4 linked regions of the Struthio camelus genome follow. The protein of the gene in region 1 interacts with the protein of each later gene in a pairwise test. Links are inferred from orthologs where the notes say so. Each region holds a gene or a part of one and is shown in the gene's direction. Other genes may lie near its edges. The genes, in order: TOX4, T-box-containing protein TBX6L, ZMYND19 and FNDC3B.

Region 1 (7,920 bases):
CCGTCCCCAAACGGAGCTGCTTCGGCTTATTTCCACTTTTAAAACAAAATAATAATGTGGGGGGGAAATGAAATAACAAGCGGAAAACAAGCTCAAAAAGCTTGTTTTTTTCTGGAAAATAAGCTCAAAAGTGCCTCCCCCCCCCCACCTTGGGCTCTTATTTTAATAAAAAGCTGTAAAATAGACGCCCGAAGGCGGCTAAACCCCTTAAAAGCCCGAAACGAGCCCCCAAAAGCTCATTTCCGCCCTCAACAAAGCATGTTTTCGTATTTAATAAAATATAAGGGAAAAAAGAGGTAAAAAAAATGATAAATTAGCACCCTGCCCCGCCAGCCGCTTTTTGGTGTTTTCCTAACTCGGGCGTCCCCGAAGCGGCTTTTCCCCGGCAAAACCGTTTCCCCGCAAATTCATGACGGGAGAGGGGGAAAAAAAACCCCAAAACCACCTTTTTGAAACTCAAGCAGCTGTTTGTTGGGGTTTTTTTTTTTAAGGAAAATGGGGGGAAAAACAAAAAAAAGCAAAAATCCTGCTGCTGCTGTAAGTTTTCATCTTTCCCTATAGCGGAAAAAGGAAATGCTTGAGGAAAATGAGGAAAAAGCCCTTTAAAATACTTCATGTTCCTGTTTATAAGGCAGAACAGGTGAACGTGAAACGTCTGCATTGTTTAACAGAAAAAAAAAAGTATATTTTGTGTATGTGTATAGATATATATATATATATATTTTTTTTTTTTTTTTTTTTGCTTTTCTGCACAATTGCTGTGTTTCTGTTTTTTGGGGCGAGGAGAAAGAAGGCGAAACCCTGCGATTTTGGCCAAAGCGCTTTATCCCGACCGCTCGTCCTCCCCTCCAGCGCCGCACGTCGCGCGAGTGAAAAGAGGAGGAGGAAAAAAAAAAAACCCAAAACAACCTGCCCCAGCTCCAAAACTGATGCTCGGCCGCGAGTAGTTTTCCTCACCGGAGCGAAAACGTGTCGGTGGAGGGGGAGGAAACGGGACCGAATCGGGTGGGAAAAAGGGGGGGAAACAGGATTGAATCTGGGGAAAATGAGGAAAACTGAGGAAACGGGCTCAAATCGGGAGGGAAAATGGGGGGGAAACGGGGAGGAAACCAGGATCGAGTCGGGTGGGAAATGGGGAAAATGGGGGGAAATGGGATTGAGTCGGGTGGGAAATGGGGAAAAGGGAGGAAACAGGATCAAATCAGGTGGGAAAATGGGGGGAAATGGGATCGAATTGGGTGGGAAATGGGGGAAACGGGGAGGAAAGGGATTGAATCAGGTGGGAAAACGGGATTGAATCAGATGGGAAATTGGGGGGGGAAATGGGATCGTTCGCGGGAAAGAGGCGACGAGGAGGTTCGGGGCGGGAAATTCCCGTGCCGAAAACATCGTGGTCGGGGCTGGGCCGGGGGATTTACGGAGGCGGCCGGCGTCGAACGACGCCGCGAGCGGTCACGGCGTTTAAAAAAAGAAAACTGAAAAATCAAAAAAAGAGAAAAAAAAAAAAAAAAAAAAAGCTCGTTTACAGGCAGCGGAGACGGCGCTGAAGCGGCAGCGGAGCCGCCCCGGCGAGAAACGCAGCTCGAAGCCGCCGTCTTTTTTCCTCTCCTTTTCCCTCCAACCCAAAACGAAGGGGGCGATTCGTTCAGCAGCAGCCGGAACCGTCTCCCGAGCCCGGAGCGCCGTGTCGGGCGGCGGAGGAAGGCGCCGTCCCCGCGGGTTGCTGGGGACCGATTTTGATGCCGTTGGCCTGGAAAAGGAGAATCGGGGAGAGAGGGGAGCGGGAGCCGCCGCTTCCCTCTGCCCCGCCGGCTCCGGGCGCTCACCTCGTTGCTCACGTCGAACAGGCCCTGCTGGATCTTGCCGTAGATCTCCTTGGCCGTGTCGATAAACGCCTGCCAACGAGAGGCAAAAAAAGGAGGGGGGAAAAAAAGGGGGAAAAAAAAGGAGGAAAAAACAAAAAAAAAAAAAAGAGGGAAAACCAGCTGCCCCCAGTGGCTCTGAGAGGGGATTTCCCACCGGCGAGCAGGAAAGCATAAAGAAATATATACGTATGTGTATTTATATAACCGCCGGCCCCCCCCCCCAAATAATCCCTTCACCTCTTCGACGTTGGCCGCCGTCTTAGCCGACGTCTCCATGAAAACCAGCCCGTGCTCCCGGGCGAAGGCTTCGCCCTCCTCCTTCCGCACGTCCCGCCGCGACTCCAGGTCGCTGCCGAGGCAGGAGACGGATTCGGCCGAGGGGCAGGACGCAAGAAAAGAAAGGGGGGGTGAGGTGGGTGAAAAAAACGAAAAAACAAAAAAACCTCCCTTCTTAGAGTCCGGGACGAGTCTCCGGACTCGCTCTTGTTGTTTTTATTTAACCTCTTGTTCCCGATCAGCATGATGACCATGTTGGAGCTGGAGTGTTGGCGGGCGTCTTCCAGCCAGGACGTCAAGTGGTTGAAGGTCTCGCGCCTGCGCGGGGGCCAAGAGCGATTCGGGGTGGGGGGCGGCGGAGGGGGGACGACGTCGAGGCCGACGCGAGCGCGGCCGGCGGCGATACCTGGTGATATCGTAAACCAGCAGCGCCCCGGCCGCTCCTCGGTAGTAGGAACGCGTGATCGAGCGGAAAGACTCCTGTCCAGCCTGGAAAAAGAGAGATATTTATATATATAGAGAGAGAGAGAGAGTTTTTTGTTTTTTTCTTTTTAAAAAAAAGGGATGGTCCCGATACGCTGCTGTTTTTTCTTTCTCCCCCGCGGCCTCACCGTATCCCAGATCTGCAGCTTGATCTGCTTGTTCTCGACGCTGATCATGCGCGCCCCGAACTCGACGCCTGCAAGAGAGGGCGCGGGGCTGCCGGACGCGGGCTCGGAGGAGCCGGGGGAAACGCGGGGCCGGGCTCCGCTCCGGCCGGGATCCTCACCGATGGTCAGGTCGTGGACGGGCTGGAAGCGCTTGTCGGTGAACTGCAGCAGCAGGCAGGACTTGCCGACGCCTGCGGGCGGACGGACGGACGGGCTCCGGCTCCCTCCGCGACTGCTGCCCTCGATCTCCCCCCAAAAATACCTCCCCCCTTGTTTTCTCCCCCCTCTCCTACATCCTGGCTGCTCCCCACACCCCCAGCTCCCTCCGGCCACCGGCCCCCTTTTGCCTCCCCCCTCAATCCCCCCCCCCAAATGACCCCTTTCTGCCCCCCTCAGGCTCTTCTGCCCCCCTAAAGCCCCTTCCTGCCCCCCCAGAGACCCCTCTTGTCCCCCCAGAGCCCCTTCCTCCCCCCAGACCCCTTTCCTGTCCCCCCAGACCCCTTTCCTGTCCCCCCAAAGCCCCCTCTTGTCCCCCCAGAGCCCCCTCTTGTCCCCCCAACCCCTTTCCTGTCCCCCAGAGCCCTTCATGCCCCCCTAAAGCCCCTTCCTCCTCCCTTAGACCCCTTCCTGCCCCTCCAAAGCCCCTTCCTGCCCCACTTCAGGCTCTTCTACCCCCCCCCGAAACCCATCCTGCCCCCTCAGACCCCCTTTCTGCACCCCCAGAGTCCCATCCTGCCCCCCCAAAGCCCCTTCCTTCCCCTCCAGACCCCTTCCTGCCTCCCCCAGAGCCTCTTCCTCCACCCCAGACCCCTTTCTGCCCCCACAGAGCCCCATCCTGCCCCCTCCAACCCCTTCCTGCCCCCCCAAAGCCCCCTTTTGCCCCCCAAATCCCCTTCCTGTGCTCCCTAGAGCCCCTTCCTGCCCCCCAGACCCCTTTCTGCCCCCCAGAGCCCCATCCTGCCTCCTTCAACCCTCTCCTGCCCCCCTAAAGCCCCTTTCTGTGCCCCCCAGAGCCCATTCCTGCCCCCCCAAAGCCCCTTCCTGTGCTCCCTAGAGCCCCTTTCTGCGCCTTCAAAGCCCCTTCCTTTCCTCCAGACCCATTCCTGCCCCCCTAGAACCTCTTCCTCCACCCCAGACCCCTTCCTGCCCCCCAAAGCCCCTTTTTGCCCCCCAAATCCCCTTCCTGTCCTCCCTCGAGCCCCATCCTGCCCCCCCAGAGCCCCTTTCTGTGCCTCCCAGAGCCCCATCCTGCCCCCTCAGACCCCTTTCTGCCCCCTCAAAGCCCCTTCCTTCCCCCCCAGACCCCTTCCTGTCCCCCAAAGCCCCTTTTTGCCCCCCAAAGTCCCTTCCTGTGCTCCCTAGAGCCTCTTCCTGCCCCCAGACCCCCTTTCTGTGCCCCCCCAGAGCCCCCTCCTGCCCCCTCAGACCCCCTCCTGCCCCCTCAGACCCCCTCCTGCCCCCTCAGAGCCCCTTCCTGTCCCCCCAAAGCCTCTTTTTGCCCCCCAAAGCCCCTCCTGTGCTCCCTAGAGCCTCTTCCTGCCCCCAGACCCTTTTCTGCCCCCCAGACCCCCTTTCTGTGCCCCCCAGAGCCCCATCCTGCCCCCCAGAGCCCCTTCCTGTGCTCCCTAGAGACCCTTCCTTCCCCCCTCAGACCCCTTTCTCCCCCCCACAGCCCCTTCCTGCCCCACTTCAGGCTCTCCTGCCCCCTCAGAGACCCTTCCTGCCCCCCGGCCCGGTACCGGTATCGCCGATGATGATGTATTTGAAGAGATACGCGTAAGACATGATGCCCGGAACCAGGTCCGCCCAGGGCCGCTCTGTCCTCGGAGGCCGGCCGCCTCTACTCCTCCGGCTTCCGGCGGCGCTCTGCCCGCCCCGGAGGCCGCCTCTACTCCTCCGGCTTCCGGCGGCGCTCTGCCCGCCCCGGCGGCCGCCTCTACTCCTCCGGCTTCCGGCGGCGCTCTGCCCGCCCCGGCGGCCGCCTCTACTCCTCCCGCTTCCGGCGGCGCTCTGCCCGCCCCGGCGGCCGCCTCTACTCCTCCCGCTTCCGGCGGCGCTCTGCCCGCCCCGGCGGCCGCCTCTACTCCTCCCGCTTCCGGCGGCGCTCTGCCCGCCCCGGCGGCCGCCTCTACTCCTCCCGCTTCCGGCGGCGCTCTGCCCGCCCCGGCGGCCGCCTCTACTCCTCCCGCTTCCGGCGGCGCTCTAGGCAGAACCTGGGCGCTCTGGGGCCGGGGGCCGCCGGCTCCACTGCTCCTACCCGGCCCTGCCAGCTCGGCAGGGCCAGAAAAGACCCAAACGCGACTTTTTTCCCCCTCCCACCCCGTCTCCTAGGGGGGCTCCCGCCGCCGGCGGGGGGGGGAGGGAGGGAGGGAGAGGCCGCCTCTATGACCCTCGCGCCGGAAGTGGAGTGACGCGGCGTGACGCGAGGGCGGGGAGGCGGGACTTCCGCTTCCGGGGTCGGGGGCCGGAGCGCGTCGCGGGGAGACTCTCGCTCGGCGGCGGCGGCGCCATGGAGGTGAGCGGGGCCCGGGACCGGGGGGGGGAGGTGTTGTCGTGGAGGTGGAGGCCCCGTGGGGAGAGCCGGGCACCGGGGGGGGGAGATGGGGGGGCGATGAGGGGAGTTAGGGGGTGCTGGGGGCTACTGGGGGGGATATGGGGGGAGTTAGGGGGAGATAGGGGGTGCTGGGGGCTGCTGGGGGGGAGATGGAGAGAGTTAGGGGGATATAGGGGGTGTTGGGGGCTGCTGGGGGGGAGATGGGGGGAGTTAGGGGGATATAGGGGGTGCTGGGGGCTGCTGGGGGGGAGATGGAGAGAGTTAGGGGGATATAGGGGGTGTTGGGGGCTGCTGGGGGGGATATGGGGGGAGTTAGGGGGATATAGGGGGTGTTGGGGGCTGCTGGGGGGGATATGGGGGGAGTTGGGATATAGGGGGTGCTGGGGGCTGCTGGGGGGGATATGGGGGGAGTTGGGATATAGGGGGTGCTGGGGGGAGATGGAGGGAGTTAGGGGAGATAGGGGGTGCTGGGGGCTGCTGGGGGGGGAGATGGAGGTGTTGGGGGGCGATGGGGGGAGTTGGGGGGAGTTGGGGGCTACTGGGGGGGAGATGGGGGTAGTTAGGGGAGATAGGGGGTGCTGGGGGGTGCTGGGGGGGAGATGGAGGGTGTTGGGGGGAGTTGGGGGATATGGGGGGAGTTAGGGGGTGCTGGGGGCTACTGGGGGGATATGGGGGGAGTTAGGGGTATATAGGGGGTGCTGGGGGCTGCTGGGGGGGAGATGGAGGGTGTTGGGGGGCGATGGGGGGAGTTGGGGGGTGTTGGGGGTTACTAGGGGGATATGGGGGTGAGTTGGGGGGTGTTGGGGGCTGCTGGGGGGGATATGGGGGGAGTTAGGGGGATATAGGGGGTGTTGGGGGCTGCTGGGGGGGAGATGGAGGGTGTTGGGGGGCGATGGGGGGAGTTGGGGGGTGTTGGGGGCTATTAGGGGGGATATGGGGGGAGTTAGGGTAGATAGGGGGTGCTGGGGGGGAGATGGAGGGTGTTGGGGGGTGGGGGGGGAGTTGGGGGTGCTGGGGGCTACTGGGGGGGATATGGGGGGAGTTAGGGGAGATAGGAGGTGCTGGGGGCTTCTTGGGGGGATATGGGGGGATATAGGGGTATATAGGGGGTACTGGGGACTGCTGGGGAGGAGATGGGGGGAGATGGGGGTGCTGGGGGCTATTGGGGGGCGATGGGGGCTGCTGGGGGGTGATGGGGGAGATGGGGTGCTGGGGGCTGTTGGGGGGTGATGGGGGGAGTTGGTGTTGGGGGCTACTGGGGAGAGCTGGGGGAGCTGGGTGGTGTTGGGGCAGATGGTGGGACATAGGGGTGCTGGGGGTTACTGGGGGGTGCTGGGGGGGAGATGGGGGGTGTTGGGATCTATTAGGGGGTGCTGGGGGCACACTGGGGCGGAACTGGGAGCTATTGGGGGCACTGGGAGGGTGCTGGGGGCTGCTGGGGGCACTGGGAGGGTGCTGGGGGCTGTTAGGAGGGTGCTGGAGGCTATTGGGAGGTGCATGGGGCACTGGGAGGGTGCTGGGGGCTATTGGGGGGGTTTGGGGGGCACTGGGAGGGTTCTGGGGGGTGCTGGGGGCACTGGGAGGGTGCTGGGGGCTGTTGGGAGGTGTTGGGGGCACTGGGAGGGTGCTGGGGGCTATTGGGGGGGTTTGGGGGACACTGGGAGGGTGCTGGGGGGTGCTGGGGGCACTGGGAGGGTGCTGGGGGCTGTTGGGAGGTGTTGGGGGCACTGGGAGGGTGCTGGGAGCTGTTAGGGGGGTTTGGGGGACACTGGGAGGGTGCTGGGGGCTGTTAGGGGGGTTTGGGGGACAGTGGGAGGGTTCTGGGGGGTGCTGGGAGCACTGGGAGGGTGCTGGGGGCTGTTGGGAGGTGCTGGGGGCACTGGGAGGGTGCTGGGAGCTGTTAGGGGGGTTTGGGGGGCACTGGGAGGGTGCTGGGGGCTGTTAGGGGGGCTTGGGGGACACTGGGAGGGTTCTGGGGGGTGCTGGGAGCACTGGGAGGGTGCTGGGGGCTGTTAGGGGGGCTTGGGGGGCACTGGGAGGGTGCTGGGGGCTGTTGGGAGGTGTTGGGGGCACTGGGAGGGTGCTGGGGGCTGTTAGGGGGGTTTGGGGGACAGTGGGAGGGTTCTGGGGGTATTGGGGAGCGCTGGGAGGGTGCTGGGGGCTACTGGGAGCGCCGGGGAGGTGCCGGCGGCCCGTTGCTGTCCTCAGCCGCCTCCGTTTCTCTCCCTCCCGGCCGGCCGGGCGCCGCGCAGTTCCCCGGCGGCAACGACAACTACCTGGCCATCACCGGCACGGCTCACCCCTTCCTGACGGGGGCCGAGGTGAGGCGGCGGCGGGGGGGGGGGGCCGGTCGGCGGAGGAAACGGGGCGGTGGGGCAGCCCCACCTTCCTCCTCCTCCTCCTCCTCCTCGCCGCGCAGACCTTCCACACGCCCAGCCTGGGCGACGAGGAGTTCGAGATCCCCCCCATCGCCCTGGACGCCGACCCCTCGCTGGCCGTCTCCGACGTGGTGGGCCACTTCGACGACCTGGGCGACCCCGGCAGCGCCGCCGACGCCGGTTTCTCCGCCCAGTAC
Region 2 (7,094 bases), on another chromosome or scaffold:
GCCTCATAAAATGAAGCAGCCTTATTTGTTGCATTACATAGTGGCGAGCGTTACAGAATGCAAAGATAAGATGATTGGATCTGAAACAACAAGTGGATGTTTGCAGTAACCTTCTAATGACATGTAAATGGGCCAAGGCTATGCTGTCATTTGCCCTGCTAAGCACAGACAGGCTGGGTTTCTGCTGTCCAATAAGATTTTTAAAAATTATGACCAGTTTCCAGTTGTCACTGTAGAATCTTGAGGTGCTTTCTTCTTCTGTTTCTGAGCCTTAATTAAAACGAGGCTTGAAAAAAGGCCTTTTGAGCCAGCCATATGCTTAACAATCAACTGTTCCCTCTCCTTTGACATCTGAAATCATAGATAGCCTCCTAACATGTTTTTTTTTTTTCTTATTTATTTTCTCTTTAGCCTCCAGTTCCAAGCCTGAACTCAGCTCCAGCTCACAGACTTTGGGAAGTCAGCAGAGCAAGACAGATGGCACCCGTGTAAAAACTCGCATTCTGCCCAACATGCCAAAGCTTTTCATACCTTCATCTGTCACCAAATTTCCACCTGAGATCACTGTCACTCCACCCACTCCCACCCTCCTTTCTCCAAAGGGCAGCATTTCAGAAGAGACCAAGCAAAAATTAAAGGTAATAAAAGGGAAACACTAATTTTTTTTTTTTAGATGATTGTTTTTATCTTAATTCTCCCCTGAATAAAATTCCTATGTGAGAGGAGCAACCATTCCTGTCCCCAGTTTGTAACCAGGGGTTGCAGAAGTAATTGAAGGAGATGCTAGCTGTTATCAGCAGGAGTCAGTTTTTAAGGACTAGTGAAATTTTGGACATGAGTGAAATCACAGCTATCCCAGCCCCTTGTCTCGGAGGGAATTAGAAGGAATTACAAAAACGGGTGAGGGAGTTAGTGTAGCCCTTGCAATTCTTATGTTAGTGGAAGGTACTCAAATTTTAACTGTGGGGAAGCCTATTGGTAAATGCTATGTTGTTTCACATTAGGATGTCATAAATTTATAGAAATAAGAGGACGTAGGAATGTGAAGGACTAGCAGCCAGTTGGTTTTTATCCCTGTGATCATGGGTTTATCCTGTCTATTTAGCAATATATTCTCTCTCTCTCTTTTTGGGATCAGTCTGCTATTTTGTCTGCTCAGTCTGCAGCGAATGTAAAGAAGGAGAGCCTTTGTCAGCCAGCTTTGGAAATCTTAGAGACCTCAAGCCAGGAGTCCTCACTGGAAAGTGATACTGATGAAGATGATGACTACATGGACATATGAATGAATTCTGGCCATCATCAACACCAACCATGTAACCATTCTTCTTGTTGCCGGCATCTCTGGCAGGCGAAACATCTTCGCTGGCATTATTCTCCATTTAATCTACATCATTGTGTTCCTCACTTCCATTACCTTTGTTACCACCACTACTGCTTGTATTGCCTTCAAAATCTTCGCCATTCTCCCCATCATGGTGCTCGACAGAAAGAATGATTGTTTACCAGGCAGTTACTTCATTTGGACCACATTGTCACCTTTAACTTCAGCAAACACGAGAATGTTTTGAGCTGCAACTCGCATCTCTACTGTTCCTGCTTCAAACCAGAGCCTTGGGAGCCAGTCCAGCGGCTCTTTTCTATAGCATTTTTCTACCTTTTAGTTGTCTTTCATTTTCCCCACAGGTTAAATTTTCCTCCCAATAATTTTGCAGCCTAATCTCTGTCTAGCCATACCATGATTAGACCAACAACTCCATTTAAGGTGAATGGAGCAGGAGAAGTTTGCTGAACTAGTCGAATTTTCAGTGGCATCAGGGAAGTCTATGGCTTCAGTTTGGGGCGAGAAGAATGAGCTGAAAGTCTGTTGGCTCCACGGCACAGCTGGATGCCTTGTTAAGAGCTGACTAGGTGGACAGAAGGCAAAGAAGCAGGTTTTCCAGGCAGACAGAGGTTGGCCTCCTGTTTGTGCTCATTTCACTCATATGTATGAGGTCCAGCAAAAATTATCTACCTGAATGTTGGCTTAAAGAACTGATCTTTCCAGAATTGTCTTACAGTCCTTTCTCTTCTAATGCCTTGGACAAGCATTTTGAATTGGGGGCTAGATGATATTTTTATGGCGGTATTGAAAAAAAATTTAAGATTTCAGTACCATTTCAGTAACGTCTGTTTTTTACAGAATGACACGAAAAGGTGTTTTTTTAACTATCTGCAGAGGGACTGCTCACAGTTATTTATATGAGAAAATAATGGTAAAAAAAATCATTTTTTTTTTCTACTGAATGTTAACTTTGTAAAATAATAAATGCAAACCGTGCAAAAAAAATCCATGTCACGCTATATAGATATATATAGATATATATATACACACACAAACATGCGTACACACACACACACACACACACACACACACACACACACACACACACACAAACTTATATATATGATAAAAGAAAATGCATACAGCTTGCCATGTTGGATTTCTTTGTGTTACGGGGGAAGGTGGTTTTCTGTGAAATGCAGAGCTTTGTATAAACTTTTGGTTTTTGTTTTTGTTTTTTCTAATAAAGTCAAAATGTACTTACTGTTGTCTCTGTTGGTTGGAGAGGTCAAGATGCCATGGTTCTGGAGAACATACCACTCCTCCCTTCCTTTTATTTCCTGGGTAAGAGGGTTCTGGAGGAGGGGAAAAAAAACTTCCTTTCCTAAAGACCACCAGAACTCTTGGGATGGCTTTGGTCTTATGTGACCCAGAGCCTGGTCAGCCAGTGCTGCCAAGCATGCGTGCCCCCAGTTCAGTATCCCCATTGAGACCCGAATGGTCCCTGAATAAAAAGAAGCAGCATCAAACTTTGTCTTGCAAGTTCATTCTTGTACTCTGTGTTGTTCATTTTGAACAAAATGTAATTTCTGAGCAGGTGAACACACCCATTGTGGGCGTATTAGCAATTGTTCGTGTAACTTGTTTGCCTACTGCAAGTGATGGATGAGCAGCTTGCAAGTGGCATGTGGAGAAGATCAGGATGAGAGGTAAAAGCAAATGTATATTTTCAATAGTAAAATGTTTTCAATTGGTGTAAGTTATTATAAATACAGTGTGTAGCATATTCTATAGGCATTGCCTGGTAAGAAGCTCAGATAGCTCTGGAAAATAAAAGGAATGATCTGTATTTTTAGAAGATAGCACAGGAAAAACAAAGAGGAAATCGGCTTGTAATGAGAAATGGAACACACAAAGTGAACTGCAGGGCCAAACATTCTTGGAGGATATACTTTTAATTAGTGCTCTTTCTCTTAAGTAGAGTAGACTATATAGGCTTTTTGGCTAATATATATTCTGAAATGTATGGCTGACTTTAAGATCAATTATGAATTCTTGGGCCCACAATCTAGCATAGGGCTGATGTACGCGGACTCAGCATTTGACTTGATTTTTTGGGGACCATTTTTAGTGTAGTCTTCAGGCAAAAACATTTCAAATCTTCAGTAAAGTTAATCTAGGTCTCTCATTTTTCAAAAAAAGACTATTTCTTAATTGAATTTGGTCATTGAAAATGGTTGTTTTCCTTTATTCTTCTTGAGGTTTCCTATAAACTAGGTGTTTTGAATTATTTTTTCCTCCAGTGCTTGCTAAAATGTCTGATCTGGATCTTTCTTTGGCTCCCAGCCTTCCTTTTTTGAGAAGGCTTTGTTTTGTTTTTTATTGCTGAAGGAAAATTACCACAATGATTAAAACTGTTCCTATGAGCAAAGTGAGCTGAACATTGTTGTTCTGCTCTAAACTCATTTAAATCTTCAAACTACAAAACTGTGTAACTTGTTTTATCTGATTTTCAAAAGTCTTAACTGTTTTTCTTACTTTTTATCTGTGATCTTTCATTCCTATTATGCTCTCAGGTGGCTCAAGGACTTTTTTCCTCAAGGTCAAAAGGGTACTGAGACCGATGGGGTTACGTGGGCCGCCGCCTTCGAATCCTGCACTTCTGCTAACGGCCAAATACTGCGCTGCTCAACTGTGGACCATCTTCCATAATGGGTGTTACTGCTGATTTATGCCAAAGGACCCATTTTTCTTCTATATGTATGAAATCCTCTCTCTGTAAGTACAGTTTATGTAGTAGTTCAATTCAGGGAACCGTGTCCTGGGGAGAGGATGCCAAGATCTCTGGCTACGTTTTTGTGTGCTGTTTGTCTGAAGCACCATCCCTAAAGGTTCTTGAAGCGGGAACTTCAAATCCTGTGCAAACAGAAGTATTCACTTAATAGGGTGTCTTCTGAAGCCTGATGATAAAATTTGATGGAATTTTCAAGAAAAAAGTCTTTTGGTAAAACTGAATTAGCTATGATTTTACTTGAAGCGATGTCTTTGAGTTTATCTTAATCATAGTCATAATAGCTTGATCTCAGTATAGGCAAGGTCAAAATGATCAACTCCCCTGTTTCATAGTTGCATATCAAATATAAATAAAGTATTTGGTCTTTAGGGTTTGCTGGGTCACCGTTGCTTCTGAAATCTTTACGTTCCCAGATTTCTTTGTAATATTATGCCAGACAAATAAATGGCAGCTACTGAAGTATACTGCTGCTCTGTATATATTATTTTGTTGGGTTTCTTTTCCCTGTGAAGCTATAGAGAGAGAAGTATCTGGTGCCTAAAGTGAATTTGCATGTACAGACAAAAATGTATTAAAACATAGTATTATATACTATCCTTACTGCTGTAACATCGGAAGAGCTTTAAACATGAAACCTTGTTTGCCAAATAAAAGATCCAACTCAAATGCCGCTCAATCCAACTCAGATTGCCAAATAAAAGATCCAACTCAAATGTCATTTTTCTACAGAATAATCAGAGCTAGAAAACCCAGCAGAAGATTTGAATTTATTGTTTCTATGTAGTTAGAAGCTATTTTGGATATAAACAGATGAGCACAGCAAAGGCAGTTTTCTTGTTAACCTCTTTCTGCATCTCTCCCTTGTACCTTCTGTTGTGTTTGCAATGATTTTGTGTGTCCCCCAATGAAGTGACCAGCTTTTCTCAGGCCAGTCCAGAATTTAAAACTTCGGTTCACCCTGAAGCCCAAGTAGGGGCCGGGAAGGTGTCTATTTCTCCTTTCCTTTTTTGCCCCTTTCGGCCAGTAATTGATTTAAAAAGCAAATCATTTTTGGCTACCTTAATCACTATTCTTAAGGTAGATAGTACTGGGATTTAATTGTGTTGAGTGCAGTTTCTTTTCCTGGCACAAGGATTCTACAATCTCTGTGTAATTGAGGCCATCGAGAGTTCAGATCTCTGAGGCAAGGGCTAGGGTTTTACTAAGAATTTTTCTGTTAGGCACAGCTGTTATTAGTGGCTTCTTCCTGCTGTCTCAGAAATGCTGTTCCTCCAAAACTAATAACTTTTTATTCCACATTACATGTCTTCCTTAATTTTATCAAGTACTAGAGTTTGTCAGTTGTTGTTTCTTGTTTTTTTATGTTTTAATTAGAACAAGATTGCCTCATGAATAATGAAATTAATGTCTCTTCCAGCCAAAATAAACACCATATGGTCAGGGAGAAAAGGGACCAGGAGAAGATGAGTAAAGCATGGCAGCAGAAGCCGATTAGGAGACAAAATAGACTGAATGGAAACGGAGGAGCCAGGTGAGAATAGACTTAAGTTTTGTAAATCACAAAGCTGTAACTCACTATGGTGAGATCATACAGTTAAATTCAACGTTCTGGTTTTGGCAGTGGTGATGATATTTCTAGGAAGCTGAAAAATTCATGATGGACATAGCTGGTGTGTACAGTGTTACAGGGCCTAACTCGTTTCTGTTCTTGGAGGTGCTTGCCGTATTTTTTTTAAGGAACAACGTGGTAAAGTGAATGAGTTGGGATGTTTAGAAGAAAAAGTAGCAAGCATAAGTCTTATGAGCTGTTACTTAGAGCTGGGATATAGGAGCTTTGTTCTTGCAGCTGAAGGTGATGGCAAGAAGTTCAGGGTAGATGTTGAGTGCTAATTGCCATGTTTCCCTTTCTTTTGACTGATTACTAGGAATCCACTAGCGCTAAGCTTCAAGGTATGCATCAGTATTTTAGGAGTAATCTGGGGGTATATTCTCTAGAAAATACTGAAGTTATGTTTTTTCAGCTCCTGCTTGCTTTTCCTGTTCCTTTATATTGTTCTCTCTGTCATTATCCATGCTGCTTTTACTTACTCGGCTCTGTAACTCTTCCACCAACCTATTTTCTGCAGCTGAGGTTCCCACTCTGCCTTCATCTGGCTGTTTCATTGGTATACTTAGATACTGTCCCAACCTAGGTGGTGTTCCAGTTTAGGCAAGAGAGTTTTAAAAGCTTAATGAGCAGCTTCTTAGGAAACCTAATAGGCTTCATTTTCTCAAGTCTTACAAAAAAAGCAGGCAGATAACTTAAATCTGTTAGGACTAAAACCAGAAGTTTTAAGCCTGATGACATTAAGGATGTTGGTAACAAGTGGATCGTGGTGGTCATCTTAGTGCAGTTTTTATCCCTTCAAAATGTCCTGCACTGCATTCACATATGCACAAGCCTCCAGCACACAGTAAGCTGATGTTCATCACTAAGTCCTCGTGCACCTGGGCAGTTGTGCATGAGCGCCAGAACCACGACCCAGCACACCATAGATATCCCATTTCGTTTTTCTCTTGCGCAAACTTGTACACAGCCTTTTTACCTTAATCCCTTTTCTTCTGCTGTCCTGTAGTAACATTGTGACCAGCACTGTCAGAGTCTGGTCAGCCGTGTTTTCTGAAATCATTGCTATCCGCGACAGAAATAGCATCCAAAGGGAAGGGAAGTTCCTCCAAGTGAAGCAGCAACTTGACTGGCGCAGCGCAACCAGCCCCACTTAAAGCTGTGACAGTAATGCACTTGTGCGTGGTGGTTTCAGTACAAGCACCCAAAATTAGACCTGTGTATTGCCATTTTTGAGCATCTAGCTTTGCTTTGGCATAATTTTTTTTATCCTATTTGATTTCTCTACCCCCTATTCGGATGGTAGAGTATGCAGGTTTCAAGGTTACTGATCGGTTTGCAGCAGTGAACCATGACAGTATATCTTGAGGTAC
Region 3 (7,268 bases), on another chromosome or scaffold:
ACTCTTGGGGGTGGGATGCATAACCTTTCCCACGCTACCTTCTAAGCTGCATAGTACTTGGAAGGAGGGTACTACCCTGCCAGCAATTCATTTTTTTTCCAATCTAGACTTCTTAGAAAGGAGGCAAAGGGCTTTTAAAGATAGTAACAACCTACATTGACTCTGCTCTTTAAATCTATCTTCCTGATGAATGGGTTTTTGCTCTGAAGCCAGGGCTTTCTTCTGGTTTCGTGATCTGCACCTTCAGAAGAAAAGAGTGAAAAATTGCAAAACACGGAGCCCTTTCCAGGGGAGACCTTCACCCTGGTGGCCCAGGAGCTCTGTGCGCTTTAAGGAGAGACAAGGGAAAGGAGGGTCACGTCCAGCATTGCCCAGCGGGTGGGAGCTGCTGGCAGGGTGCTCACGCGAGGGCAGGACCCGTCGCTCCTTGCTGAGCCTGCGAGCGGCACACCGGGGTACGAACCGCTCGCAGTGGAGCGTCCTCACAGCTCTGCTGCTTCCAAACGGGGCAAATCGCTGCTTTTGGCACCGTGGGGCCGTTCTGGGGGAGATGGACACCTCGCGTACCTGGCAGAAGGGTCTCTCCTGCTCGGCTCTGGGCTGCAGCGGTGTCCTCACGGCACCAGGTGCTGGGCGAGAGGTCGGCAGCAGGCCCGGGGCTGTCACCATCAACGCGGGGGGACGGCTGGCTCCACGCAGGGGCTCGGCGGTCTGGAGGAAGGGCACAGAGCAGCGATACGGGGCAGGCGCGGGGCCCCTGGCCCTGCCAGACCCCCGCCGGTGTCTTGGTGTCGCAGGCCGCTCTGCAGCATGGGGGCTTGTCTTCTTCTGAGCAGCTTTTGGCTAACGTGGTTTGGGAGCAGAGCCCAGCTTCCCCTCAGCTCCCAATACCAGAAACGTGCCTTTGCCAGCCAGGTGCCCTAAAGCAGCAGCTGCTTGTGACGGTGCCGACCGCTCTGTCTCACCCATGAGCCAGAGACAATCGCGAGGACACTGCAGCCGCTCGACCCGCAGCGTCAGGTTTTGTGTCTGTCCCTGAGAACGGGGGGTTGACCCAAGCCCGCCTCCAGCAGAAGACCCCGGTGCTGGGGGAAGATGCCCTGATCTCCACGTGGCAGGCGAGGTGGTCTCCATCCATCGCCTGCTGCCGCCCACACTGCCCGCGACCTCAGGGACGTCGTGCCCTTCTGCCACGTCCCCCAAGGGCAGGGGACTGCGCGACGGGCATGGGAGGTGCAGAGGGTGCCAGAAGGGGAAGGAAAGTCGCGATGGCAAAGTGAGCTTTCGCCGGCCTACGAGAAAGGAGGAGGCTGCTGGCCGGCAGGAGCCCCAGCCGGGAATCAGGTGGCAGGGTGCCCGGGGTGCTGGCCGGGCTCGTGCACCCATGACTCACCTCCGCTGCGGGCCTCCACGCAGAGGAGCAGGCAGTGCCTCTTGCTCAGCTGCTTCACACGATCCAGGCAGACGCGGCAGGTCGAAGCCTCGGGCTCCGGCCGCAGCCGCGGGCAGAGCACAACCGTCACGGGCAGCAGGTTCCTATCGGAGGGCGAGGGACAGCTTGGGCGACGTCAAAGGCAACTGCCCCGGGCTGGGCTGCGTCGCCCCCAGGTGAACGGGACCAGGGGAACGGCACGGCCGCGCTGCGGATGGCAGCACCCGGCTCTGGCGGCGGGTTGGGAGCTCCCTCGCACCGGGAGTGGGAAGTGAGATGTGGAGTTGGGCAAGGCGGCTGCTCCCTGGTCCGTGCTCTTTGTCGCCTGATGCACAGGCGGTTTTGGGTTTCCAGGAGTCGGGCGTTGCTGGAAAGCATCCCCCCTCGCATCCCCACGCACAGCCCAAAATTACCAGCGGTGCTGGAAAAGCTGGCAGAAGAACGGTGGCTTCCAGTGCTGGTAGCCGTTCATGTAGTAGCTGGCCATGTGCTTGGTTACTTTCTGGCGGTAGTCCATTGCGGCCCCGCTCCGCGGCACGTGCCGGCCGCCGGTGGGAGCCCCTCGCCTGGGGCGACCTCACGGCACCGCTTTGTGACGGCCGGCGCGTTCCAGGGCTCCCGGCGCCGGCCGCCCTCGGCGAGGCACCCAGGCTTCAGGTACCGTCAGCATCTCGGGGCTGCAGTCCATTGACCACCCCAAAGCAAATGCAAACACCTGTCACCGGCAGGTATTTGCCGCCAGCGTTAGTCTGATTTTCTCTCTAGCCTGGACAATCTCTTCTTCTCCCCGTCCCTTCCCAGCTGGGAACGACCCGATTCTTATTTGGCGTGTTTCTAGGGCCAAGCAAAAGAGCAGGTGCCATGGGGAAGCGAAGCCCTTCACATCCCGAGCAAAGTCCCCCCGCACCGAACAACTTGTTCCTGGCATCAGCAGTATCATACACTCTTCTTTGCTGTTTTTCTCTTTTAAAAAGCAGGCCACAATCATCAAAAGCCACAGTCATCAAAAATGAAGCAATGCCCTTGATAAACCTGGGTGTATATTAATGGATTTATTGCACGTTTCCAGCTACTTTGCCTTTCTCGGAGGTTTGATTTATCTTTCTCCCTCAAGGACTCTTGCAAGAGCAAGGCATTCTTTTCACTGCATAGATACTCTGCTCCCGATTCAACTATTTGCTTGACTTTCTCATTAGCCAAAAAGACTTTTGCTTAGCAGCTTACGAAGGTTTCCTTATCCGACTAGCTGCCCTGACGAACGCGGTCAGGTTCGTGCCCCAACTGCACGGAGCAGCACCTGCAGAATTAGGCATTTCCTGGATCCCACGGGGTCTGCTGGCTGCTGAAGGGCTGCTCCAAACCGCGGTGTCTAATTTCCCTGGTCCGGCATGAGAGCCTGAAGCAGCTGGGGTTTATGTCTCCTCCATGGGATTGCTCCGTCGCAGAAATGAAAGTTTTTAAGGAAAGTTTTCCAAGCTTCTTCTTTAGATTTTAAATATTTTAACGTCTGTCTCCTTTAGATGCTCCTTTCACCGTTTTAAACACATCTTTTCCCTGCTGCTCACGTTCTTCGGGGCACAGTTGTCCTATTCTGCCCTAGTGATTTCCCAGGTAATTGGGCAAGGACAGCGATCCGTCCTCCTTGGCTGCTTTATCCATTTATATGCAATTTGAAGCCCCTCTTCGACCGTGACATCTTCCAAACGTTCCTGCAGGCTGCCGAAAACGCCCACACGTCAATCAAGGAAACAAGGTGGTTTCCAGTGCTCTTAGCTGTGACTGCAGAGTCTTGGGCAGCGGACGCTCTGCAAATCCGTTCCCCTGACTTTTGTGAAACGAGGAGCGAGCTCTTCGCCCTCATCTAGACGTTCGTCACGACTAGACCTGGAAACGAGCCCCACCACCCCGCACCCGCCAGCACGGCGCGTCGTTTTGGCGGACGGAGCCACCGATCAAACCCTGCGGCAGCACAAGGCGTCTGAGAACATCCTCGCCGAAGCTGTACGTTTGCAGCAAGGCAGATCATCCGGCTCTTTCCCCAGCCCGGGCAGGACCGGCCCCGCGTCCCGCCTGCAGGGCGCAGCTTATTAATTACAGCACATCCCAACACAGAGTGAATCTCTTTTATAACGCAGCAGGGTCCGCATCCAGCTCCCGGGACACGGGCGCCCGGCCCTGCTCCACCTTCTCCGGCAGGTCTCAGCCGAGCAGGGCCGCCCAGCCGCCGCCTCCGAAGGCCCAGAAGCGGCCGGCGCAGCCCACCGCCACCTCAGGCCACCAGCCGGGGTGACCTTCGCCACCACGGAGGGGCTCCCCAGCCGGCCCTGCCCTTCCCGGGCGCCAGCGCCTTCCTCGTAGCCGCGTGGCCACGGGAAGCACCGAACGCTTCCAAGCCCAACACGGGCAGAGCCACCGGACGGTCCCAGCAACGCGCCTCGGCCCGGCCCGGCCCGGCCCGGCCCGGCCCGGCCCGGCCCGGCGCCCCAGACCCTCCCCCGGCCGGGCGGGGCCCTCCCGCCCGAGCGGCCCCTTTAAGCCCAGCCCCCACCGCTCGCGCTCTCCCCGTGTTGGCGGCACAAAGCTTCCCGCGAACGTGACGTCAGCGCCCGCGCCTCCCTCCCCCGCCCCCTCGGGGCCGAGCCCGCGCGCGAGCCCGCGCGCGCCGCGCCGGGCCGCGCGCCCGCCCCCACGTGACCCCGCGCGCGCGCCGCCCGGCGATTGGGTGCGCCGGCGGCGTAGTAGGGGCGACGCGCCAGGGGCGCGGGTTGCCATTGGCCGGGCGGCGGCGGGTGGGAGGTGGTGCGCTGCCCCGCCCCCTCCCCCCCTCCCCAGCCCGGGTGTGCGCGAGGCGGCGGCGCGTGGCAGCGGCGGCGGCGGCTCCGCTCCCGCTCGCGGGCTCCGAGGGGCGAGCGCAGGCGGCGCCCGGCCCGGCCCGGCCATGACCGACTTCAAGCTGGGGATCGTGCGGCTCGGCCGGGTGGCCGGCAAGGTGAGCGCGCGGCGGCCGGGGCCTGAGGGCGCGGGGGGCGCGGCCGGGCGCTGCGGGCCGCGCCGGGCGGAGCGGCTGCCCGCGGGGCGGCGGCGGGGGCGCGGGCGGCTCCCCTCTTCTCCCCACACCCCCCGGCCGCGCTGTGCCCGCCGAGCCCGGCCCCGGGGCGGGAGGCGCGGGCAGCGGCGGCCGGTGTCGCGCTGCCCGGCGGGCGCCGGTGCCGCCGCCGCCGCCGCGGGGGCCCCGCTGGGCTGACGGCGGCCGCTGCGCTCTGTGTTTCAGACCAAGTACACGCTGATCGACGAGCAGGACATCCCGCTGGTGGAGAGCTACTCCTTCGAGGTGAGGCGGAGAGGCCCCCGGTCCCCCCTCCCCGGTGCCCGCCTCCTGCCCCATGACTTTCTCTCCCTCCGTTCCCGGCCCCCCCTTTCCCCTCCCCCATCGTATGCTGTCTTAGGGCTTGGTTTTAGGGGCTGTTTCTTTTTTTTTTTTCTTATTTTTCTTTCTTTTTTTTCTCTCTAAATCGCGATACCGGCTCCCTTTTTTCAGTGCGTGCGATCAGACTATCAGCAAGGCCTCTGCTTTCTCCCCCGTTAGCTTGTGGGGGTGGCGATACCCCTTTGCTCTGTCCCTTGGGTCCAGCAGCTCCTCCGAGGTCTCCGCTGCGAGAGCGGTTCGCGGTATTCCTGGGGGTGGAAGTAGTTGCAATGTGTCAGTGAGTTTTTTTTTTCCTGTTTTGACATGCCTAAATAAAACTGCTTGTGGAATCACGCTGGCGAGCAATAACTTTCCTACTTTGGGGGAAAAAAATAAGTTTGAAAATATTGAAACAACAGTGTGAACGCTTTCAAATGGGAAGTGTTCCGTTCCTTCATTTGTAAACAAGCATTAAAACAAATTAATTTGTTATATAGCTTTTGTTTTCAGCCTTCTGCTTGTATATATTTTTTGAAAACTTTCACAATCTGTCTCCCCTTATTTGGTTTGTAAAACTTTAAAAACACTTCACTTTGCACATAGTCTTGCACTGGCAAAACATCTCTTAGTTAGCTTAATATGGAACGAAAAAACTTTTCTCTTAAGATATGCTTCAAGAGGGTAAGCTGATTCTGCCTTACAGACTTACAAAGAGAAAGAATTCTTCATTGCAAAATCTTCTATAACTAACACGTTTTTGGAGTGGGGACCGTTTTTTTGCGTAGCACCTAGCACAGTGGGTGCTGCAGAGTTACTGTTAGGTGTCTAAGTGCTGTGGTGATGCTCCAATCAAGAAAGACCGTATTTGCTCTTTCCTCCTCTGTAGTAATTCATTTGTGTGGTAGAGGAGGGAAATGAAGCTGGACATGCAAGGACTTGGTCTCATTTCACAGGGGGTTCAGAACACTCAAAAATCCACGCTGCCCCTGAAAGGAGGGGACTCGCTCTTCCCCCATCTGTGTTTCTGCTACGCTACTGCTTGTGTGACTCCACAGGGGTTGGATCAGAGAAAAACATCTGGCTGAAAACTATATATATATTTTAAGGGGAGGTGGAGAGTATGCTAGCTTGCACGGTGAACTGTACCAGGGAACAGCAAGAGCGTTAGTGCCTGCACAAGGTTATGGAGCTGAGTGGAGAAAAGAGGGCAGGACCACTCCTTTCACTAGCAACCCCTAATTAGATTGGTGTAAAGCAATACTGGAAACAAAGCCTTGGTGACTTGCTGATGGCTGTACATAAAATCTATGCCAGAGCAGAGAATGGATCCTGGCCCTACAGGCTAACAACTGGATTGTTGTTGTTCTTTGTCCAAGTGGAACTCCTGCTGTGCAAAGCCTTCTTTCTTCCTTTTGCCTTGCATCTTCATAAGCTACAATAGCAGAGCTGTTTTCTCTCTGTTGGAGGTTTCAGACAAGTGAAATTCCATTAAGATCAAGTGACCTATATCTTATATGGTGGGTTTCCTACGTCTGTAGGAGCCAAATAGTAAATGTTGGTCTTTTGTATATCCCAAAAGGCATGTGCTCTGCCACTCTGTGTTGGGCGCCCTCAGTCACAGTCTTCCCTTTTCTCTAGGCTCGGATGGAGGTAGATGCTGATGGAAATGGTGCTAAAATATTTGCTTATGCATTTGACAAAAATCGTGGAAGGGGGTCTGGCCGCCTGCTACATGAGCTACTTTGGTAGGTAACTTCAAGGGTTCACTAAGGTGCAATTTGCTGCCTGCAACTTGTATGTTGTTTATTTCTCTGCTTGTAGTATTTTGAGTCTTCTCAGGAGGCTTGCAGCTATACTCATCTGGGAACCCAGCACAGTGGGTGCCATTAGATCTTATTATAGTTTTGTTTTGCACTGGTCATTTAAACAGTTGAGTCTCTGTAAAAATGTTATTCCCAGGGAAAACAGTGATAGGTGAGTATAATTTGTGCGGACACTGTTGAAATCTGAGAATTGCTACCAAAACTTGTGTGCCCGGGGGTGTTCCATCTAAATTAATGGATGAAGACTAACCTTTTGTGTTCCGTTTGTCCTGTGATAAGCACATAACTTACTGGCACCAGTGAGAATTGGCAGAGCACTGGAGAGATAGAACCTCTAACTTAAAACTTTGGAGGTTTTTGTTCAGCCTTCTGGAAAGCTACATGAAACAGCGCTGAAGGTACTTTGTCTCAGCTGCTACTTCCTATTTTCTGTATTCTAAGAATCATTGCTTGATATCCTTTGTAGCTCCCAGTTAACATTCAGAGGTTGACTTAATCAGTAGTAAGAGGTAAGTATTCCTGACTAATCTAATGAGCTGTTAGTCTGCTCCTTTTAGATATGTTCTTCATGATGAGACCTGAGTTTAATTTTGTAGAAAATATGGTG
Region 4 (6,985 bases), on another chromosome or scaffold:
GATCATAAGGAGGAGGGAGGAGAGGATCCATTTTGCTCTGGATGTTTTCTTAAGGGGATCATTCGTTCTTTTAATTTGTGCAGCCTGCCCTTTCCACCTCACACCACCCTTCCCGTAGCAGAGGAAGATCTGACTGAAGGAATTCAGCGATCCCCATTCTCAGCCTGGTCAGAGAGTTTGCTGTGGGGTCGCGTAAGATGTTTCTCACCGAGGCTGAGTATGTCTTTTTTCCTCAGTCCAAGTTGCTGCTGGCCCTGAGAGCAAGAATCTGAACCCAGAGCTCTTACACTGTAAATGTAACACATTAGACACTGAATCCAGAGCCAGTCCACCCAGCAGCTGCTCAGAACCTTAATAACACATGGAGAGAAAACTCCTGTGGCCACAGGCCACGCAGTGTTTGAACAGAACCACTCAGTGTACATGCCAGCGCTATGCGGTATTAAAAATGACTGAGGGCAGTACACCCCAGGTAAAAAAAAGCAGTATTCTGCAAATAAAGCAATCAAAGCATTCTCTGTACACTGTTAAACAGAACTGATGCCAAGATCTCAGCCTACTTGCCCTCCAGAATACAGAACATGCAGCTTATTGAAATAGTAAAAGTCTAACTCAAAACCCATTAGAAACCTGAGGGAGAGTATCTTATGAGAATAAAAACTGTCTTCACAGCCTTTATAATGATGTCTGATCTGAGATGTCACATCCCAATTGTATGGACAGAGTTTCCATAGACCCCTCTCTGGAATTTTTCGCCAAATGGGACGAGATGGCTGAAGGGAATGACGACAGAATACAGAATTTAGAATAATTGGTTTGGATCCAGCCCTAGTCAACAGTGCCTAAATTGTTACTGTTTGATGGCTAAATAATTCCTATTTGAAAGAAATTAGTGGTTTCAGTCTGATCCCAGTAGATCCGTATCTTGGGAATGACTGTCCTTGGTACATAATTCCAATAGTAAGGCCAAAGACGGAGGCAGAATGATCCCTTCATCCTGCTCTTCTGCAACAAGGACACAAGGGAAGGGAGGTAAGAGAGACCTGCGCTATTGCATTTCTGACACAACTTGCTTCATGAATAAACAGAAAGATGCACTACGAAAAACAAAAAATGTGTATCTATCTTATCGAAAGCTCAGACTCACAAAAACACAAACTCATCGAAACAGCAAAGTTAAGTTCATGACTCTAGTCTATACTCATTTGGGTATTTTGGGTTGGTCATTTTCCTCAAAGTAATTTACACATCCCTGCTGTGTTGCTGCTTAAACTAGTTCTTACCCCTTTTGGGGCAGAAGACATTTCCTCTTGGTCTGATTAATGCTCTTCCTTGATCAGCTGCCTCAGGCAGTAAGCCATTGAACAACTAGTTTTATCTGTTATTTATGTAGGGATTTTTTGAGGAAAAGCAGTCCTTGCTTCATTCTCCTCCATCCCTTTCCTTGTTTTTTAGAACCTGTCCAGTTTCCACTGAACCACTTCACAATTGCTGTTAATTATATCTGGCCCCTGAGTTTGTCAGCACAGAGCGGCTGAACAAAAACGGTTCTAAATGAAGAGTACGAGTTTTTTTCAGAACTCTTTTTTTCTATCTCTAGGATAGCTTTGCTGTGTTTTATGTGAATCTGGCCAATTTTATGGTTTCAGGTGAGACGGATATCCACATGGAAATCAAGTAACTGGGCACGTTTGTTCTCAAAGTTGTCAAATGTGGTTGTTGAGGATGAGTGTCTCTGAATTCTGCTCCAGCAGTGAAACCAAACTGAAGTAAGTGTGAACTGTAAAAACTTTACATGGCTACAGAGAAATTTAAAATACCCACTCATAACGACGGCAGAGGACATTGCTCTACTTCTGTAGGGGATGGGACAGCATACCAAACGCCCCTATGCCCAGAGTCTCTGCTTTGTTTCTTAAAATGAGAACATACTTGGATCTAGCATTTTTGTTCTGGCCCACCTGATAGGAAAGCAACAAATCTGCCTAGTGGTTTTATTTCCTTCCTCTCCTTTATTTATTTTCATTATCTCTCCTTTAGGTTTGATATTGTTTACTCTTCAGTTTAAATGTTGTCTTTTTATAATTTTCTGATTTGCATTAGTGTTTTTTCCTTTCAACACTCTTCACTACCTTCCTCTTTCCCTTTTCTCTATCCTTTCCTTCACAAAACAGTCTACAGGATCAAGTAAAGGCTTTACCACCCTAGTGAATAATTAATCTCATCTGACTGCAACTCAATCCAGGATCATCAAAAAGCCTGCGTGTTTTGGGTCACTAATAAAGCAAAACATTTTTCTGCTTTTAGATTTTATTCATTACAAAAGTTTTTGCAATTAACGATGAACAATACTTAGTGCTGGCTGATCATTTTACGCTGAAAAATCTTTCCCATGGGAAAATGCTAATTTGTTATTTTCATAGGAATTATCTATTTCAGATAACTTTATTTTCATTTTTCTGTGTTTTGGACACTTAAAGAATAGCTTAGTTGGGCAAAATGTTTTGATTTTTACCAAACTTCTATGCCAAACTAATGTTTTTCAGTGTGAGTTTCAACAGCAAATGAAAAATCGAGAAGCCCTACAGGAAAAATGTTTTTGTGGATGTCTTAATGGAAGTTAATGAAAATATACCTGAACTGTATAAGACTCTAGAGATATAGTTTTCTAGCTTCTGAAAGGAAACCTTGCTCTTATGAAGTAAATCAACTACTGAAAAAACCTTTACGAAAAATAAGATTGAAGAAAATAGATAGTGTCTAAGAGAACATGGAGCAGAAGACATGCCAGTGATGAGATGTTATTGAAGAAGGGTAGATAGCCAAAGGACTGAGGCCAAATAAAAAGATCCCTCATAATATGCTTGCAATTTGTAGTGTGCGTGAGGCAGAGTCCTATTTTAAGCTTTTCCTATAGCCAGATTAAAGCTCTAGTTGTGATTCCCACCTTGCTTAGATGCTGCGCTGAGAGGTAAATTACCAGTGTGGTTCCTCATGGCTCTACTCCAGAGCAAAAGGATAAATCTTTCTTCTTTTTGTCTCCAACAATTTAAGTATGTCAGACTACTCCTTAATCTCTGAAAATACGTGCCTAAAGGTTCTTCTCCTTACTTCCAAACTCACAGAAAGATAGAAAAGACCACACTGAGTCAGACCAAAGGTTCTTCTTCTGCAATACCTTGTCTCTTACAGCAACCAACAGCAGATGCCTCAGCAAGAAAATACAAAAGGGCACACAGAGTATACATAAGAGCCCGGCCTTAAGCTATTTGGATGAGGGCCTCCCTGTTTCAGCAGCGCTGTTTCTCCAACAGGGAGATCCTGTGGGGGTATTTCTCTACTGTCACAACTGCAGAAGGCTCTAACTGCAGGAAGCAGGCTTGGGGGTTACCCAAACTCTGACGTTCGAGGGGTGACCCAAATATCCGCAAATGAATAACGATGCAGACATTTTCTGGTGTGCATGCCGTATAAAAACATCCGATAGACGGGATGAGAGGCAGATGGGCGATGCGCACCGGGTAGGTCAAAGGACACGGGGCTCCTCGGCAGTCTGCATCTGGTTAATTGAGGTTACGCAGGACACCATCTCTCCTCTGCGGGATTCAGAGCAGGACGGGGCACCTGGAAGGGGACGGGGACAGGCACCAGGGCTGCCGCTGGCGGCCACGGAAACAACACGGCAGAGGTGGGAGAAGGGGTGGGTTGGGAGGGAGGACGGGGGCGCTGGGGGGGGGGGCAGAAGGAAGGGGCGAGGTGGGAACTCGGGGAGGATGCTGAAGCGAGGCCAGAAAGCAGAGGTGGGAAATGGAGGGGGGGGGGGGAGGGAGCTCGCCCCCGTGTTGGGGGGGCAGAGGCAGCCACGGCCCCACCCCGCCGCCCGCCTCGGTGCCCCCGCGGCCGTTGGGAAGGAGGGGCGGGGCGGGGCGGCCCCAACGGCCGCCGCGGGGCGGGGCGGGGCGGGGCGGCTCCTCAGCGCGCGCCGCGGCCGTTGGGAAAGGGGCGGGGGGGCAGGAGGGCCCGCGCGCCGCCCGCCCCAGCCTGTTTTTTTTTTTTTTTTTTTTTTTCCTCCCCCCTCCTCCCCTCCCTCCCTCCCTCCCCTCTTTTTCCGCGGGAGCCGCTACTCCAGAGTGCGCGGTAGCGTGGGCCGGCCGCGAGGGCCCATGTGGTGCCGACATCACTGACATGGCGGAATCCCCAGTAAGCCCGCCTGGCCGCCGCTCCAGCTAGCCGCCACTCGCCCGCCGCGCCCCGGGCTCGCCTCTCCGCCCTGCCGCTCCGCTCTGCTCCGCGCCGCCCGCCCAGGTAAGGACGCCTCGCCCGGGGCGCCCCGCTCCGCGGGCGGGGAGGGAGGGGAGATAGGAGCCCCCCAGCCCCGCCGACCCTTTTGTTCGGGGCGGGCGGCGGCGGTTGGCGGAAAGTTTCTGCTTGCGCCGCGCTGCCCCGGGCCGCGGGTGCGCCCCCTGCGCAACCCGCTCAGGGGCGGCGGCGCCGGCAGCGGGAGCCCGCGGAGGTTTCGCCTCGAGGGGGCTGCGGGCAGGGGCCGGGCAGGGGGTAGAGCAGGGCGGCCGCCGGTGCCCGGGGCAGCTGCGGCGCTTCCTGTCAGCGCCGCGGCCCGCGCAGCCTCCGCCACTGGCCGCCGGCGTGCCCTGCCCCTCGGCCGCTGTCTGGTGCGAGGGCCGCGCGGTTGCGATACGAGGCGGAGGGGGGAAACGCGGCTTCACGGCTGGGAAGAGGTTTGTGCTTTTATGCTTCCCCCCCCCGCTTCCTCCTCCGCGAAATGCGCTGATGCGCGCTACCAGGTGATAGTGTGTATGTGTGAAAAAGGCGGCGAGGTGGCGGGAGGGGAAGGAAGCGGTTTCCCTGTCCTCGCTTTGCCTCCAGAAGGAGCCGCGGGTGCGGAGCCTGCGCCCCGCTGCCCGGCCGCGGGCTGCCGCGCAGGTGGAGCCGCCGGAGGCTCCTGCTCGCCGCGCCGCCGGCTGCCGGGGGCGCCGTGGAGAGGGAGCTCCGGCGGCGCCGCCTCGTCCCCCCTTCCCCGTCCGCTTCCTTGGCCGGGACCGCTTCGCGAAGGAAAATCCTGGAAACTTTTTATTTTGCTTGCCAGACGCCTTTTTCTTTTTAATGGCATGCTACCAGGAGACAGAATGGAGAGAGAGAGGGGGGATAAAAAAGGAAAATTCTTTTAAAGGATTAACCTCTCTTAGGTTAACACTACATCTGCAGCCCTCCCTTCTTCTCCCCCCCCCCCCAAGTTCTCAGAAATGTTCTATTTAAATAAGGTTTTGGCTAAGGTAATGCGGCTTGGAATTTAATGCAATACACCCTTTATCCCATCTATATTTGTGGAATAAGGTGGGGGTGGAGGGGAGAACCCGAGCTTCTCTCACGGTGCTAATAATTTTGTGTTTCATTTGCATTTCTTTGTCTGAGTACCTAAAAGTAATTGCTTGCTTGCTTAAAGTAATAGTTACTCCTTCACAGTCGGGAAACTGAGATATAGGAAAATTTCTTTCTTTTTTTTTTTTTTGAGGGGAACTCTGTGCGTTTTTTCTTTAAGAACAGAATTCAGATTTCCCAGTTCCCTGTACCCTAGGCACGTTTGCTGTAACCCCTAACAATTTACCCCGCAGTGCCTAGGGCTGAACAGAAGTAACTAATAAATTTCCAAAAAGTGTTAAACCTGTCTAGCTTGAGCTTAACAATGTGCAAGGTAATAGGAATTCAAACATGCCCATGTTTAAGCCTAAATCACTGTTTCCCAACCTTTTTTTGCAGCTGAGCTTGCTTAAAAAAGGTTGGAATTTCCAGGTCTTGCAGAACGTCTTGGTGCTTGTGCTTGTTTGGCAGAATAAGCCGGGGCTCTGCGCCTCTGTTAGGGAACCATGCTGGTCTGGGCATGGACACAATGTGTGTTTGGCTGGAAACCCTTCTAGACAGACGGAATGCATCGTTTCATAAATCTCAGGATTCAGAGATGGGCTGTTTCCTCCTATTAAGAGCATCTTGCTTATCTCACCCAGTCCTTTTGTACCACCTGTATGTCATTATCAGCAGTAAGAGAATATGCTACTGGTGCTACCAATAAGAAAACAGTTCTTGGCTGCGTTCCTGGGGTCACTTAGGGTCTTGCACAGAAGCAGTCTCTTAGTGCTCTTCTCATAATCTTCAGTGCTTTGTGGTTCCTTCTCATTAGTTTTAAAGCAGTTGTGCTTTGTGGTTATACCAGGACTGTGCTGTGGCAGAAGGATCTACTTGCACAGAAGTGTCATATATTGTTTTTCCCAGTTTAGTATCTTGAAGCTTGTTTGTGGTCATAATGTAGCTCAGGGGTGAGTGTGCGAGGAAGTTTTAAAAAAAAAAGATTTTTTTTTTTTCCCCCCACACACCATCAGGATTCATCTGATTTGGGTTCAAGGTCACTGCTGGGAGAGCAGTGAGGGTTGTTTTTTTTTTTTTTTTTTTTTTAACCTACTGTTATCTTATATATGGCCAAAGTATAAGAAATGAATAAATTTAGCATCCAAAATAAGCTGGTATTCTGTTATAGCTGAGAAGTTTGGACTTGTAAGTTAATACTGCAAGCAGTTTATCTTTACTCTCAGCTAAGTCTGTAACTTCCAATTGGAAGTGCATTTGTTCTGGCACTTGTCTTCTATGTATTGTGTTTGGTGGACCTAAAGAAGATTCTTGCACGCTACCTTTCTTAGCATAGAATTTTCTCTTTTCTTTTCACTTTATAGATTCTACTAAGTGCTCTCTCTCCTTAGAGAGCTCCTCTCCTGAGGAGCAGTAAGGGGAAACGTCTACAATGCATAATTTGAGCAAAAAAATACATGTAAGTCGTACAGCAAAGTTATGCATGTGTGATTGTATTCATGAGCTTTCTAATTAGTTTAATTGGCTTTTCCTTCAAAAATGTAGGTCATCAGTCTGAACACTAACACACACAGTTTACAGTACAATTAACTGTTTGTAGTGTGAAGAT

What was found.
Region 2: the proteins of TOX4 (region 1) and T-box-containing protein TBX6L interact in binary tests that used the Homo sapiens proteins (3 or more experiments, as listed by UniProt). The link is inferred for Struthio camelus from reciprocal best matches to the Homo sapiens genes TOX4 and TBX6.
Region 3: the proteins of TOX4 (region 1) and ZMYND19 interact in binary tests that used the Homo sapiens proteins (3 or more experiments, as listed by UniProt). The two-hybrid records come from large-scale screens. The link is inferred for Struthio camelus from reciprocal best matches to the Homo sapiens genes TOX4 and ZMYND19.
Region 4: the proteins of TOX4 (region 1) and FNDC3B interact in binary tests that used the Homo sapiens proteins (3 or more experiments, as listed by UniProt). The two-hybrid records come from large-scale screens. The link is inferred for Struthio camelus from reciprocal best matches to the Homo sapiens genes TOX4 and FNDC3B.

What each region holds. Positions count from the first base shown.
Region 1 is NC_090970.1:69,202-77,121, forward strand, and holds the start of TOX4 (TOX high mobility group box family member 4), read left to right. Parts: upstream 1-4,914; 5' UTR 4,915-5,300; coding exon 5,301-5,306; intron 5,307-7,597; coding exon 7,598-7,666; intron 7,667-7,764; coding exon 7,765-7,920. Other genes in the region: RAB2B (ras-related protein Rab-2B), read right to left, coding at 1,299-2,214, 2,367-2,459, 2,548-2,630, 2,753-2,820, 2,911-2,982, 4,531-4,576. UniProt on the Homo sapiens protein: Transcription factor that modulates cell fate reprogramming from the somatic state to the pluripotent and neuronal fate. In liver, controls the expression of hormone-regulated gluconeogenic genes such as G6PC1 and PCK1.
Region 2 is NC_090958.1:9,243,952-9,251,045, reverse strand, and holds the start of T-box-containing protein TBX6L, read left to right. Parts: upstream 1-4,082; 5' UTR 4,083-4,099; intron 4,100-5,532; 5' UTR 5,533-5,646; intron 5,647-7,094. Other genes in the region: CABIN1 (calcineurin-binding protein cabin-1), read left to right, coding at 412-638, 1,139-1,282. UniProt on the Homo sapiens protein: T-box transcription factor that plays an essential role in the determination of the fate of axial stem cells: neural vs mesodermal. Acts in part by down-regulating, a specific enhancer (N1) of SOX2, to inhibit neural development.
Region 3 is NC_090961.1:12,062,825-12,070,092, reverse strand, and holds the start of ZMYND19 (zinc finger MYND domain-containing protein 19), read left to right. Parts: upstream 1-4,262; 5' UTR 4,263-4,370; coding exon 4,371-4,421; intron 4,422-4,703; coding exon 4,704-4,763; intron 4,764-6,476; coding exon 6,477-6,583; intron 6,584-7,268. UniProt on the Homo sapiens protein: May be involved as a regulatory molecule in GPR24/MCH-R1 signaling.
Region 4 is NC_090950.1:27,368,731-27,375,715, reverse strand, and holds the start of FNDC3B (fibronectin type III domain-containing protein 3B), read left to right. Parts: upstream 1-3,972; 5' UTR 3,973-4,305; intron 4,306-4,561; exon of another isoform or gene 4,562-4,736; intron 4,737-6,985. UniProt on the Homo sapiens protein: May be a positive regulator of adipogenesis.